Linked DNA regions of Diceros bicornis minor. Each later gene encodes a partner of the first gene's protein in a complex. Links are inferred from orthologs where the notes say so. Each region holds a gene or a part of one and is shown in the gene's direction. Other genes may lie near its edges.

Region 1 (7,162 bases):
AAACAGTGTTTTGATAGGCTTAACGCAACACAGAGCTGCATGAGAAGGGTCAACTTCAGGCCTGAACAGTGTTGACATAAATAATCCATAACCCATCTATAAATCAAAATTGAGGTGAGTTTATTATGAGCTAAATTTGAGGACCGTATAGCCTGGGGCCTTCCTTCCCCAAGGAAGGAAGGGCACCAAAGAAGTGGGGTGTACAGAGTGGTTATATACCATCAAAGAGCATGTATCACATATGATTGGAATGTCCCTTTTACAACAGTCATGAGATTGCCTAGCCTGCCTAACTGGCACAGCGATTCACACAGCAATTGATGAACACAGCAGGTAGCAGGTCTGTGGTCTCCAGCTGAATGGTCACAGCAGGTCAGCAATCAATCCCTAGCCTAGAGAGAGAGATGCTTATCCTTAAGGAAATGCTGATGTGAGGGAAGTTACTTTATCTTAACGGCATTTGTTCTTGTCTTTTTGACATAGTAAATGCTTAAAGCAGATATACAATGCATGTTCAAAGACCACGTCTGGCCCTTTTGGAAAAACAAGGTCTGGCCGAATTAGTTTTACACCAAAAGGCTTCCTCATATACTCCAATATATCCTATTGCTTGCCATTTATTTATCAACAGCAAAGCACAGTGGACCCACCAGAGTCCTGTTCCTTTGGAAACTACAAAGTTAAGATAGGCCTGGAATGTTGAGTCCAGAAACTCCTTATCTGAGGCTGCTTCTCTGTGACAAGTTTGTTACCAAACCAGTTTGTTTTTGCCCATCACCCAGAAAGACAAACACCGAGACAACGAGATTGCAGAGAGAGAGGGTTTAATCACAAGGCAGCCAAGTGAAGAAAACGGGAGAACAAGTTTCAAATCTGCCTCCTTGAAAATAGGGACTCAGAGTTATTTATGGGGTCGGGGGCAAGGGGGTCTGAAATGTGGAGATAGATGATTGGAGGTGAGGAGAGGTGAGGTAACTGATGATCTGCACAAGCTTAGTCAGACTTCATGCCTCTTCGTAGGACGCATGTTCGCAAAATGGCGATGTTGGCATGACCCGAGGGTGGAATTTTTAGCCTCTTGACGTTGAAAGATCACTTATCAGACATCTGCATGGTCCCAGTATGTGTTGGTGGTCTCAACTGGCCTGAAGTGGACAAGGGGTTCTAATTCCTGAAAACAGCTCAAACATCCATTACCATGGTGACCCAGGCTTCAAGGAGATGTTATCTATAGGAACCTAGTGGGAGTCAGACAGCATATTGCCTAAACAGCACAGTTAACAAGGGGTGGGGGAACAAGTAAAAGCTACAATCAGTAATTGCAAAAAGGAAAAAAACTCTAGTTCTTAGCTCCCTAATCATCAATGGCTAACTGTTTGCTGGTTTCACGGTGACTTAGCACCTCCCAGGAATGTTTCATTCTTACTAGAATAATTTCAAACAGCAAATTTCTGCTAGTTTGTGATTTTAGGGGGAAAAAAAGAAATCTCAGTAAAAAAGTAATAGTCCCTCAAAGAACATGGCTATTAGGACACTTTACAGCTGCAACATGACCTTGGGAGAAATAGTATTTCCTGTTAACCTTGTGGCTCGCTTTATCCTTGCCTGTCCTGATGCATGGACAGGCAGACTTCTACTTACTCATCGCAAGCTAATTTTTACTTTCTCAGCTAAAGTCTCCCAAGTAGAAATCTCAAACCAAAAGCTTTAGTCATCTTTCTTTTTTACTTTCCTTGACTGTGTGGGGGATCAGAATTGGCCACCCCAAAATGTGTTTCTTTGGCTTGATTATTTTTAAGAACAAAAGACTTTGAAAGAAACTTTGAACCCCCTCCACCCCCAATTGCCTAAAAGTATTTAAAATAGAAGGGCCTGTTCCAGGAAGGAGCTAATACCATAAGATAACTGTAATGTAATGTAAAATGTGTCTCTCAGGTCACATTGTCTATAGTTGGCCCGTTTGCATTTCCATCTCCATGTAAATTCTCTTCCTCCCCCTTGAAGCCCCAAACCACTACCCCCAACACCCTCCTCTGTCTTTAGCTAAAAATGATATTTAAGGTGGTGACCTCAGCCATTCTGGAGAGGTGCTCAGTTTTCCTGGGTCTCTCCCATGTATACATGTTATAAAGCTTTTTTTGATTTTCTCCTGTTATTCTGTTGAAGGGGAGGAAGACTATCCTTTACCCACTCTGGGGCCTTTCTGGCTGGGCTACAAATTAAATTGACATGAGACCGACTAGCAGGAGAAAATCAAACAAAGTTTAATAACATGTACACATGGGAGAAACCAGGGAAATCGAGTTTCTCAACAAAATGGTGGAGGTTCTCTTCTTAAATAGATTTAAGTAAAGACAAAGAAGGATGTTGGGGGTGGGGGAGTCAGTTATGGGCAATTACCAGAAAAGCACAGTAAGGTTATTATGCAGCCTCACCTTCCTCATTGATAAGTTTCTAGAGATGAGGTCATCCCCCCACTTCCCAGTACAGAGAGGGAGATACCTTTACACATGGAGATTTCCCTTACAAATATAAACGTTTGGTAAAGAGAATTTTGATAAGACTGGGCTTAGCAAAAACCCTCCCAGTCTGTTGCTTTTAGGCATAAGTTTGGGAGAAGGTCAAAGTTTTTTTCAGAGAAAATAATCAAGGTAAAAAGACATATTTTGAGGTGGCCAATTTTTTTTTTCTTTTTTGTGAGGACTAGCCCTGAGCTAACATCCGATGCCAATCTTCCCCTTTTTTCTTGAGGAAGATTGGCCCTGGGCTAACATCCGTGCCCATCTTCCTCTACGTTATATGGGACACCGCCACAGCATGGCTTAACAAGTGGTGTGTCGGTGTGCGCCCAGGATCCAAACCTGCGAACCCCGGGCCGCCACAGTGGAGCGCGTGCACTTAACCGCTGTGCCACCGGGCCGGCCCCGAGGTGGCCAATTTTGATCTCCCACACTGCCTCATGTCAATTTAATTCTTAGGCCAGCCACAAGGACCTAGAGTGGGTAGAGGAATTGTCTTCCTCCCCTACAACTGCATTACCTAAAACAGCCCAGCTCCACCCCCAATCAGCCACTCTATTTCTAATAGCTTTGGGAAATGCACGTCTTCCCTGTTGGGACGGTGAGTCCAAGCCAGCAGGCAGGGGGCTATCTGTTTCCCTCACTGTGGTACCCTCGAGTCCTCAGGTATCAGAGGTGACTATCCTGAAAGAAACTGCTTCTCACCAGAGGCCAGGCTATGGGGAGTCCCTCCACCATGGCCGCCTCCTCCAGTCTGCCCTCCTGGAAGTGACAGGAACCAGAATCACCACCACCTACCACAGGCAGAGGGTTGGGGGGCTGGGGCAGTCCTGTCTCTGACCAAGGTGGCTCCATTGCACACAAATTGCCCTTGGAGATTCGAACCTGAGAATCTGCAGAAGTTGGGCTTCCAGCTAGCCTCCTTCCTTCCCCGGAACCTCACCCTGATGGGCCACACCCAGCCTTCCTGCACTGGACAATCTAATTTTAAATTCTGTAAGCAGATGCACACCTCTGTATTTATCTATGTCAAGAGCTTGACTTGTGATAAGTCAGGCGCAAAAACAAATTATCTTGAAAGAACGAAACTTGGCAATTTGCCAGAAAATGATTTCAATAAAAATCTTATTTGGAAATGACTAGAGGCGTTTTAAGGTAATAACATTTGCACGAGTTGAGCTGGAAGGGAGCTTAGCTAGAATGATCTTATCCAACTCTCTCACCTCACACATGAGAACCTATTTCAAACTCAGAGAGGTTAAGCAACCTGGTAAAGGTCACACAGCGCCCCAGAGTTAACTCTTGTACCCTGATTTCCTTGTGGGGCTGGGCAGATGAGGAATCCTTTGTTCTCTCTCCTCCTTGCAGAGGTTTTTTAGGTCACTTTCCTAGTCCTGACAAGTAGCCTTGCTACAGGTGGCTTTGTGTCTCAAATGATTAAATCTCGTTCCTTAATATGTTTTGTTTTGTCTCCAGGAGGCCCTCAGCTTTCCAGATGATTGAGAAAACTGGCCTGTCTGTTCTGGGTCCAGCTGCCCCGCCTCCCTGGGCGGGCAGGCAGAGAACAGCTGACAACAGCAGTCTCGCTCACGTGACAATAGGAGCTCCCCGTTCTGCTCCCTGTCCCACGCCAGGGTGGGCACTTCGAGGGGTTCCTTCTGTGAGAGGCACCAGGTAGGCACCCCCGCACTGCCCATCCACCACTGGAACAGCTGGGGGGATACCAGACAGGCGCAATCAGACAGACTTGGACAGATCAGATGGCAGGCCTTCTGCGCTGGTCCAGGGCTCTTTAGGCAGTGGGAACAGCATGTGGCCGGCCTCAGATGTCTCACACCATCCCTACCTGCCCTCCTCTCCCCCTGCCCCCTACCTCCAGGAAGCCTGCTCTGCTCTTCCTTCCTCTGTTCTTTGGACTTCCTTCCCCTTTTTCTCTGCTGACTTAGCAGCGTGCCAGGCGTGCAGAGATTAATCAGTGACAGGAAGGTGCCTCTTTCGGAGTAGTGACGGACTGTGGTCAGGAGACCCTCTGCAAGCCCAGCCCCAGGAGCCTGTCCCATTTCCTGCCTGCTGCTCACCCACCTGCTCCTGCCATGGGGCGACTCATGGTCCTGCTCTTCCTGCTGGGGAGCCCGGGGGCTCTCGCTGAGATCTGCGGTGAGTAACTTGATCTGCCCTGTTTCTCTTTCCTCCTGGGTCCTTAGGAGGGAGGGCCATCTTGTCCAAGCCTCTGACTGTTTACCTGCGGAAACAGGCTCAGATGTGTGGGGGGTGCGACGGATCTGCCTCTCTGGGCTCCCACAGCAGTTTGGGCATGGCTGGACTTCAGCGTTTAGCACATTGTATCAAGATTAATTATATGTCTGACTCCCCACCAGACACGATTTCCTCCATTAATTCAGTCATTTGTACGTTTATTCATCCAACACACATTGATTAAGGCTTCTCTGTGCCAGGTGCTGTGTTAGGCTTTGGGGAAAGAACAAAGAGCGAGACAGGTCCAGCCCCTGCCCTCCTAGAGCTCCATTCTAGTGAAGGGGACAGATCAAAGAAGTTAAGAGGCATATTGGGGCTGTTTGGGTCTGTGGTGTGTGCCAAAGGAAGCCAGCCAGGTGCAGAGAGAGAGAGCCAGGCGGCCACTGATTCGGGGAGAGAGGTCGGGAGAGATTTCCAAGGACTAGGGGGCAACGTGGGAACTGAGACCCAAAGGAGGAAAGGAGCTGACAAGGAAGGGCATGGGGGAGAGGTATCGAAGGCAGAGGGAGGTGAGTGTGTGGAGACCCTGGTGGGAGGGGATCCTGAGAGGGGCGGGCGGGTCCTGGCAAGGCATTTGTGCTACGTGTATTCCAAGCACAGGGGACTGGCTGCCTGGCTCTGTGTCCCAGGCCCAGGCCCCCGGGCGCCTCTTGGGACTTGTCTATGAGTCTGAGCACACAGGTTTGGGGCTACTTGTGCACCGGAGCCTGGCGGAAAGCAGAAGGCAGGAAGGGAATCCTCCCAGGGCCGCCCACAGCTCTTCTTCCCTCCTCAAACTCTGCCCACAGCATTAGGCTCTGCTTTCGCCACCAGGATATCTCTTGATCCTTGGAGAAACCGAGAGGCAGGGACAGTCATGTCCAGGTGACACATGAAGAAGTCAAAGGTCAGAGGGCCCAGGTGACCTGCCCAAGGTGCTCCAGCTTTCCAGGGCTTTGCCAGACTCAGTTCTCAGCACTCCAGGCCAGGGTCTCCCCTGGGCACCAGAAGCCTCCGGCCTGGGTTCCACAAGTGCAACCAGACTTCTGAGCCCTGGGCCCTTGGTTCTGGTCCAGAGAGTCCCCAGGGGAGACCTGGGATCCGGTCCTTACCCTTGCTGGGCATGAACCTTTCAACAGTTGGCTCATAGGACTGACCCCACAAGAGCCCTGGACTTTTTGGGAGTGCAGCCTGCTGCTGCTGAGCCACTTAGGCCCTCTGAGCCTCATTCCCTCACCTGTATAATGGGCTGAAAATGCTCCCTTGCCTTTCTCCTCGGTGTGATGCAAGCATCCCATGGCACCCGCTCTGTGAGCTTAAAGCTCCGTGTGGCTGTGACATTAACAGAGATGCTGGACTGGTGCTGGTGCAGGGCGGGCTCCTGCACTTCCAAATGTCAATGCCAGTCAATCCTCCATTGGCAGAGCTGGGCGGTCCTGTGAGCAGGGCCCCACTGGGGAGAGACCTCACCCAGGGCCACTTTTATTATCCTGAGTGAATCTGCCTGGCTCCTTCCTTCTAAGGAGGCTGCATTGTGGTTCTCAGCCTCTCTTTACAGATGGAGCTTCTCTTCTTATCACTTCTAATCTCAGGGCTGACTCACTGGCTGGAGGTCAGAGCCCAGGGTGGGGGCAGGGCTCCCTCACCACTTTGAAGAAAAGAGAGAGAGGAAAGAGAGGTGCAGAGGGACAGGTGCCCAGAGAGACGGGCTGAAAGATGTAGAGACTAAGACAGATCCAGAGAAAGAGGGAAATCCCTATAGAAATGGAAGCAGAGACACAGAAAGGAGTTGAGAGAGAGAAAGGGAAAGAAAAGTAACTCTCCTCCACCCTCATCTCGCACAGCAACAGATACCTGTGACTTTTGGGAAACAGGCATAAGATGGTGGGATCCAAACAGGGAGAGAGGGGGCTCTGTGGGCGGAACCCTGGTCCTCTTGCCCCGCAGCCCAAGATGCGTGAAACACTCTGCGCGTGGTTTCTCTTTGCTCGTCCTCTGAAAGGGGCGGCCTGCCCAGCATCCTGGGACAGTACACAGTGCAGGCAGCTGGATCCCTGCAGCAGCTGGGAGGCAGTAAATAGGGAAAAGTCCAAAGTACCTCCAAGGCCACCCACACAGTTCAGGTCCCTTCCCTAAGGGAGGCAGGCGCCAGTCAGCTGGAGCTGGGAAACATCCCTGAAGCTTCTACTTCCTAGGTATTTCTGTATTTTGGTTACACAATTTCAGGTAAATCCCAAAGCACACAGAAAAATGGTTGCAAATGATGATGGCTTGCTAACAATACACCTTACCATCTCAAGTCCTCTCCACCTACACAGAGGTGGCCAGAAAAGTGTTATTTTGAGATCTGCACAGAGGAAGTTCACTAGGCAGTCCCAGTTAGCCAGTGGGCAGTCTGTTTTAAAATT
Region 2 (7,328 bases), on another chromosome or scaffold:
GATTCACCATATGGTCCTGGGCCAGTCCTTCAGCCGCCTTGAGCCTCAGTTTCTTCATCTGTAAAATGGGGGCGGTGGGCTTGCACTGTGAGGAGATCTATAAGGTGGTGAGGCCAGGCGGGGCCTGCTGTGCAGTTAGAGCTCTGAACTGTGGTGGTCTTCAGATCCACCAGAGTCCAGCACCGGACTGGGGCAAGCTGCCCTGCTCCCCCACACCCCTCACTGCCCCCGGATGTCTGCTGCCTTCTGCCCCTTGCATCTGCTTCACGCTCCGGGAGAGTAGGAGGCACGGGGGGCCTCCTCCACAAGGAGAGCCCCCCTCTTTCTGCCTCCTCTCCTTTCTTGCTCACCGTGTGCAAGCCCCTCCAGCCCTAGGCCCCAGGGGCTCAGGTGGGGGGCTGCTTGCCTCGGATTTGCTGGCACGGTGTCTCCTTGGGGCTCACCCCAGGCCACCTCTGGGCCAAATGATGTGTTTTCAATTGCACACCGACCCTCAGCCCCGTGAGACTGAGGGGGCTGGTCTGGCTGCGCTGTGCCCACATACAGCGCCTGCCGGGGAGAGGTGCTGGGCACCGAGGGAAGGATGAGCAGCGGGGGCCGTCGCCTGAGGGCCCGGCCCTTGCCCCTGTCCTGTCCTGGGGCAGCAGGAGCGGGGTGCTGGTGCACCCTGGGGCCGCATGTGGGAAGGAGTACTGGAGGGGACAGGGCTAGTCACGGCTGCTTCTGGGCCCAAGAGCCAGGCCGACTGGGGGTTCACGGGGCTCAGGGCAGACGGGGCTGGCCAGCTCCCAGCAAGTGGGCTGACCCTCCGGGGGACCCCATTGGAGGGGTCTGGCGTTCTGAAACACCCCACGCTCTGGCCTCCGGCTCCACAGTCTCAGCAGGCGAGTACCCCTCAGGGGCAGGTGTGTCCCTCAGATCCTTCCACCCTGTTCTTTGGAAACCTGGCCCTAACCACAGTCTGCTTTTCTCCTCCAGCCCGGCTGCGGCAGCCACTGAGAAGAAGGCGGTGACGCCGGCTCCTCCCATCAAGAGGTGGGAGCTCTCCCGTGACCAGCCTTACCTGTGACTGTGCCCTGGGACACCTGGCCGGGCCCTCAGTGCCACCGGGGTGCTTCCCCTCCTTGGATTCCCTTTGGGGAGACTGACCTAATTTATGCCGATTATATGGAGCTGCAGTATGGCTTCCGTTGTTCCTTTTGAAGCGACACCCGCTTGCTTGGACTTTGGGGTGAAGTGGGTGAGAATCTTCTGACTCCAGCAGCGCTCTAGGGGCGGGGGAGGGGTAGTGTTCTGGGGGTCCAGGGTGCCATGCTGCCACTGGGCACAGAGTCAGGTGACATGGTGCGGGGGGGCCCAGACATGTCACTGGTCCTTCTCCGAGGGCCTGGCTCTGTCCCCGAGAGTGGTGGGGTGGCTCCAGGACCCCTGGGTGTTTGTGAGCACCGACTGTGAAGGACGCGGGCCAAACACAAACTGCTCACTTGGCCTCTGGATCTCAAGAGCTCCCCAGGCCATCACTTGTGTGGACATGGGCCAGTGCCCTCCCACCGCGACCCCCCAGCCCGCCCCGATCCTGGACCCCCGCAGCTCAGCGGGGAAGGCAGGACAGCGAGGCGGCGCCCAGGGAAGGCTCACCTAGGGCAGGTCAGGAAAGGCTCCCTGAGCCAGAGACCTCTGTGCTTGGGCCTGGGGGCGGTGAGGCCCCTGGTCCCTGTGGGGGAATGAGGGGAGCAAAAGCTGAACAGGAAGTAGCCCAAGGCTGGCTGCAGGAGCCACGCAGTGACTTCAAGTGGGAGAGTGCCCCTGGGAAGAACCTGCAACCCTCAGTAGGTGAGGAGGATCAGCCGTGTGCCCGGAGCCTGGTGAGACGGCCCTGCCCTGTGGCAGCCTAGAGCAGGGCAGGAAAAGGTCACAGTCCCCAGCAGGAGTTATGAGTGCCCCAGAGTGGGAGAGACAAATGCTAAAAGCTCATCCAAGGGGCTGAAGCCCCTGGGAAGGCTTCCTGGCGGATGTGGGATTCTGGTTGGGGCCAAGGATGAATCCCATTGAGAAAGAAGGTCAGCAGGGAGAGGGAGGCGGGGCAGGGTGTGCAGAGGCCACAAGGAGGGCAACCCGGAGGGCTTTGAAAAACCCAGGGCAAGGCGGGTCACTGCAAGTTTCCCAATAAATTTGCATGACCCAGACTTGAAATTGGGCGTGGGAGTGGAGGAGGGGAGAGGTCTGATGCCTGAGCTCCTCGCGGTGCCAGGCACCTTCTGAAGCCTTTCTCTGCGTGATCCCGGCTCCTGGAGCAATCCTGCCAGGTCATCGCTGGGGTCACAGCCCCTCGACAGAAGAACCGAGGCGTGAAGAGACCGAGAACTGCCTCAGGCTCGCTGAGAGCTGGCCCCGAACGGGGGGGGGGGGGGGGGGGGGGCATGAGTCTGCGCTCCACTCCCGCAAAGGCACAGCTGCTCCCGCTCTTGTCCCGCGCCCCATGCCTCCCTCACCGAGATGGCGAGGCTCGAAGGCGGCTGCTCCCCTGCCCTGCCCTGGGCAGTCGCGTCTGCCATCCTTGTCATCCTCCTCCGCATCTGTGCACCCTCGCGTCTTACCTCATTTCCCCTGGAAATAGGGAGAGAGGCTGATTTAAACAATTACATGTATATATGCTCCAAAAGCAGCTGAAACCTCCAGCGTTTTGAAATAGCATGCCATCAACCTGTAAATGCAACTCCTTCTGGGAAGATCTGGACGCTTTAGTGTGGCATCACGGAAAACTGGGATTGGTGAACACTCCCACGCCTGTCTTAACGCTGGGGGACGGTAACTTGTCTGGGGTCCTGCTGGCAGTTGGACGCGCTGCTTCTCCGGAAGGCAGAGCTGTCGATAAGCTCTTTATTTCCAAGAAGAAAACACTGAGGTCAGATTGGCTGGAAAGTCTGCAGCAGGTTTGTAATTTATGTGCCTACTGGGTGAGCGGGAGAAGAGAAACCCCAAGGGCTGCCTTTGCATATCTTGTTCCCGAAGTAAAAAATGATACCCACCTCCCTATGAGGAGTCTAGAAGGACTAAGTGAGGCAGGGAGCGAGGGCGCGCGCATCCAGGTGGGAGGGATGGAGGACCCAGGATGGAAGCCAGGAACCGGAGGATTCTTACATTTACACACAGCATCTATTTTTTTTGTGTGTGAGCAAGATCAGCCCTGAGCTAACATCCATGCCAATCCTTCTCCTTTTTTTCCCCTTTTTCTCCTCAAAGCCCCAGTAGATAGTTGTATGTCATAGATGCACATAGTTGCACATCCTTCCAGTTGCTGTATGTGGGATGCCCCCTAAGCATGGCCAGACAAGAGGTGTGTCGGTGCGCGCGGGGATCCGGACCCAGGGCCGCCCGAAGCGGAGCGCGCACCGGGCCGCCCCTACTCACCAAATCTTTAAGAGCCTACTGGGCGGGCCCGGTGGCTTAGCGGTTAAGTGTGCGCGCTCCGCTGCTGGCGGCGCGGGCCCGGATCCCGGACGCCACCGACGCACCACTTCTCCGGCCATGCTGAGGCTGCATCCCACATACAGCAACTAGAATGAGGTGCAGCTATGACATACAACAATCTACTAGGGCTTTGGGGGAGAAAAATAAATAAAATAAAATCTTAAAAAGAAAAAAAGAGCCTACTATGTGTCAGGCACTGTTCCCGGCTTTGGAGACACAACGAGGAACACAGCATTCCTTCCCTCCTGGAGCTGACATTCTAGTGGGGAATCAGACACTAAACAAAAATTAGTAAATATATAATCTGTCCAGGGCACAGAAGGCGCAGGAGGAGGGAGGGCTGGGGCACGCCTGAGAGGAGTGGCGCCATATTCAATAGGATAATTAGGCAGTGACTTTTGCTGCCGGATGCAAGTGGAAAGTTAAATATTGTGAGAAGCCACCCACAAGTTCGTGTACATCCCCACAAGTTTCTAACTTCAAATGGGCCCCAGAGCCTTCGCTATGCCTTGTGGGTGGGGAGAGCGGGGTGAGTGTGAAATCGCTGCGCCCCTCGTATTCGACCCTTTACGGTAGCCCTGGCCGCGGACGCCGCGGGTCCTGGTGCCTGGGCCCCGCCCCCCGGGCTGCGCGTGCGCGTGCGCGGGGATAAGAGCGGGCCGGTGGCGCGATGGGGGCGGTGCGCCGAGCGGCTGATGGCGGGGGGCGGGGCGCGGCGAGCAGCGGCTCTGGGCCTGGCGCTGCGGCTGCTGCTCGGCCTCGGGCTGGGCCTGGACGCCGCCCCGGCCGCGACCCGACCCTCGGCCCAGGCCCCAGGTGAGTGAGCTCCGCGCGCCCTCCCCGCGCGCCAGCAGCGCCCGGCCATTGGCTGCGGCGAGTCGCGGACACTCCCCCGCACGTGGCCCGACGGCCCCGCGTGCCGCCCCGACCCGGGACCCTCGGCCCGGGTGGCTCTGCCCGCCTTGCTCCGCCCTGCTCGCCCCGCACAGCCGCTCTGCTTGTCGTGCCCTGTTGTCGCCCCCACGCCGCCCTTCAGCCCAGCGTGGCGGGAGGGCGCGCTGCAGGCGCTGGTTGTGCCCCGTCTGATCGTGCATGGCCGGGCACCCGGCGCCTCCCGCAGCAGCGCGCCTTCCAAACCCGCGCGCCCCAGCCCGTGTGGCTGCGTTTCCTGGCGACCACCCCCCGCGCTGCCAATCTCTGCACCTTCCTCCTCTGGCCTTAGAGAACGGCCTTAAAGAACGAGAGGGCTCTCTCCCTCCCTGTGACCCCAGAGCCGCGGACGCGTTTTCCCTAAGTCCCCCTGACCCTCTCTGAGGTTCCCAGAGGCAGCTGGGCGCGTTACAGGGATCTCCCGGTGCGCACTGTGAGCTCGGGTTCAGGCTCACCCCGCTCCTCCGTGGGTTCCTGTCTGCTGTGGTCCCTGCCTGACCCCGAAGCCCCTGCCTTTTCGGGCCGGATGTGCCTGTTTCCTCCAAGGAGGCAGGACTCACGTTAACCAGTTCCAAACTTTTTACACGCAAGCAGTCTTCTGTCCTCAGGACACTGAGGTGGGGCCTCCTAGGGTGCCCGTTTTACAGGTGAGGAACCTGAGGCCGGCAGGGGAGTCAGTGGTGCCTCCAACTCCTGTCCGACCCCCCAGCCCCATGAGGCCAGGTCTGCTCTGCTCTGCCGCCCGCTTTGCAGAGGGACGCACGCTCCAGCAGCCAGGGAGGGAGGTCAAAGTTTGTCAGTGCAGAGAGCGGCTAGGGCTGGAGAGGAAGCCGGCTAGGGCTGGAGAGGAAGCCGTGCCAGCGGCGGCCAGACCCCCGGGGGCCTGGAGGGAAGGCGGATCCCGGATTTCCACAGCTTTTCCGGGCTCCCTGAGCTCGGGGACTGTGTGGCCCGCAGGTACAGTTGGGCCTGGAGCCCTGCGGAGGGGCTGGCTGTGCGGAGTGGGGGTTTTGGAGGCTCAGGGCCCTGGGAGTAAAGGTGAAAGGGGCCAGAGGCCCAGGACTGAAGGGAGTGAGGCTAGGCTGGGGCCAAGCCAGATGGTGGCCACCTGCCCTGGTTCACCCAGGAGGAGACCCTCAAGGCCACTCCCTTCCTCTGCCCCTCAGACTCCTGCCTGCTGGCCCAGCTTCCAGGCCCTTCTGTGCTCCGGGGTCCAGGAAGTCTCAGATCTCATCTGGACTCAGCCTGGACCCTTGTGTGACCTGTGTCCGCTTGCTGTCAGGCACGGCCCTGGGCTTGTGGTCACCAGGTCATTGCTCTGACCTCCACTGAGCGCCTAGTCTACGCGGGTACCAGTTTAAGGACCATTGGGTCCATTGTTATAAGCGGGAGGCAGAGCTTCAGGGGTCTCAGAGAAGGGCATGAGACCCCTCCCAGGAAAGAAGCTGAGATCTGAAGGCTGAGGAGGAAATCAGCAGGTGCAGAGTTGGGGGAGGAAAGGGCAGTGTGAGCCAGGGAGCAGCATGGGCCAAGGCCCTGAGGTGGAAACGAGCCAGGCCTCTTGGAGAAGCAGCAAGGAAGTCAGGCCAAGGGCCTGATGAAGAGGAAGAGTGGGGGAGGAGGTGAGGTCCAGGAAGGGCTCAGGGCTGGACCACACAGAGGAGGTAGGGTTGGTTGTGAGAGGGTCGGGGACCAGGGGACAGTTTTGAGCAGAGGGGAGGCGCGGGTGGGTGACGGAATAGTGCGACTCTGAGAGGTCTCCAGTGTCCGACAGGAGATGGTGGAGGTGGCACGTTCAGGGTGGGAAAATGATCGGATCTGGGAGGAACTTAGGAGTTGAGTCGACAAGGCTTGGTGACTAAGCAGGTCCTCTTCCCAGGGCCTCAGTTTCCCCTTTGCTAAGCAGGAAGGATATGACAGCCCTGCTGACCCTGCCGCTGGGCCTGATCCAGAGCAGGTTCTGTTTAACCCAGAAGGGTCTTGGAGGGACTTCTGGGGAGGTCATCTGGCCATTTGGAGCCTGGTAAAGGCTGGAGGATCGGCGAGACCTGGGTTGCAACCCGGCCTCTGCCACTGGCTCTGCAGCCTCTGGCCTTCCCTCTCCTCAGTGTCTTTTGTAGAGTGTGGATCGCAGTAGAACCTGCCCCACAGGGCTCGTGGTGAGGCTGTGACGCGCGCAGCTCCAGCCCCACACAGAGTAGGTCCTCAGCAAAGGGTCCCTGGAACCCGCCCTGTCTCCACGAGGTGGAGCCTGTGACCATTGCTCCTGGGGGAGGGTGCAGACTCGGCCTCACTTGTGCGCGTCTCGCAGGCCCCAGCGCAGGCTCGTGCCCGCCCACCAGCTTCCAGTGCCGCACCAGTGGCTTCTGCGTGCCCCTCGCCTGGCGCTGCGACGGTGACGCGGACTGCGCTGACGGCAGCGACGAGCAGGAGTGCAGTGAGTGGCCGCGTCCCGGGGGCGGGGCTTGCAGGGGGCGGGGCCAGAGGGAGGTGGGGTGGCTGCGGAATGGGTGTGGCTTCAGGCAGCGCCCACTGGGGCGGGGTCTGGGGTGGGCGGGGCTTGCAAGGAGGGAAGCTGGGATTGAAGCTTGAGGAGCTGTGGGTTTACAGGGAGGCGGAGTAGTGGGGTCTTGGCAGGAGGGGCTTACAGGGAGGCCTGTGCTTGGAAGGTGGAGCTAACGGAAGCGGGGCGGAGCCATTATGGTCGGCGGCACTTATAGGGTCTACTCTTCGTGGAAGGCGGGCCTTGCGTGGGGCTGGGCGGTGGGAGAACCCTGGCCCTCTTGGGTGGGCGTATGGGACCTGACTGACCCTCTGCCCTAGGGATGGAGCCTTGTGCCCAGGATGGGGGGTGCCCGCCACCCTCTGGCAGCCCCTGCTCTTGTGACAGCATCGATGACTGCGCCAATGGCATCGACCAGAACCTT

What was found. Proteins that work in one complex are often made in the same cells at the same time.
Region 2: the proteins of TCN2 (region 1) and CD320 antigen-like are in contact, whole or in part, in a crystal structure (PDB 7QBF), measured with the Homo sapiens proteins. The link is inferred for Diceros bicornis minor from reciprocal best matches to the Homo sapiens genes TCN2 and CD320. Residues at the interface, in NP_000346.2 of Homo sapiens: Asp70, Leu71, His74, Lys77, Leu78, Gln81, Gln82, Glu91, Asp92, Arg120, Gly121, His122, Lys123, Asp125, Arg126, Val128, Ser129, Lys132, Trp133, Glu136, Arg140, Lys169, Arg170, His172; in NP_057663.1 of Homo sapiens: Thr57, Lys58, Leu66, Cys67, Val68, Pro69, Trp72, Asp75, Arg76, Asp77, Leu78, Asp79, Leu133, Glu136, Cys145, Ile146, Pro147, Thr149, Trp150, Asp153, Gly154, His155, Pro156, Asp157, Cys158, Pro159.

What each region holds. Positions count from the first base shown.
Region 1 is NC_080774.1:24,152,376-24,159,537, forward strand, and holds the start of TCN2 (transcobalamin-2), read left to right. Parts: upstream 1-4,104; 5' UTR 4,105-4,193; intron 4,194-4,398; exon of another isoform or gene 4,399-4,465; 5' UTR 4,466-4,612; coding exon 4,613-4,676; intron 4,677-7,162. UniProt on the Homo sapiens protein: Primary vitamin B12-binding and transport protein. Delivers cobalamin to cells.
Region 2 is NW_026691615.1:374,457-381,784, forward strand, and holds the start of CD320 antigen-like, read left to right. Parts: upstream 1-4,161; 5' UTR 4,162-4,166; coding exon 4,167-4,287; intron 4,288-6,712; coding exon 6,713-6,838; intron 6,839-7,224; coding exon 7,225-7,328. Other genes in the region: NDUFA7 (NADH dehydrogenase [ubiquinone] 1 alpha subcomplex subunit 7), read left to right, coding at 979-1,069. UniProt on the Homo sapiens protein: Receptor for transcobalamin saturated with cobalamin (TCbl). Plays an important role in cobalamin uptake. Plasma membrane protein that is expressed on follicular dendritic cells (FDC) and mediates interaction with germinal center B cells.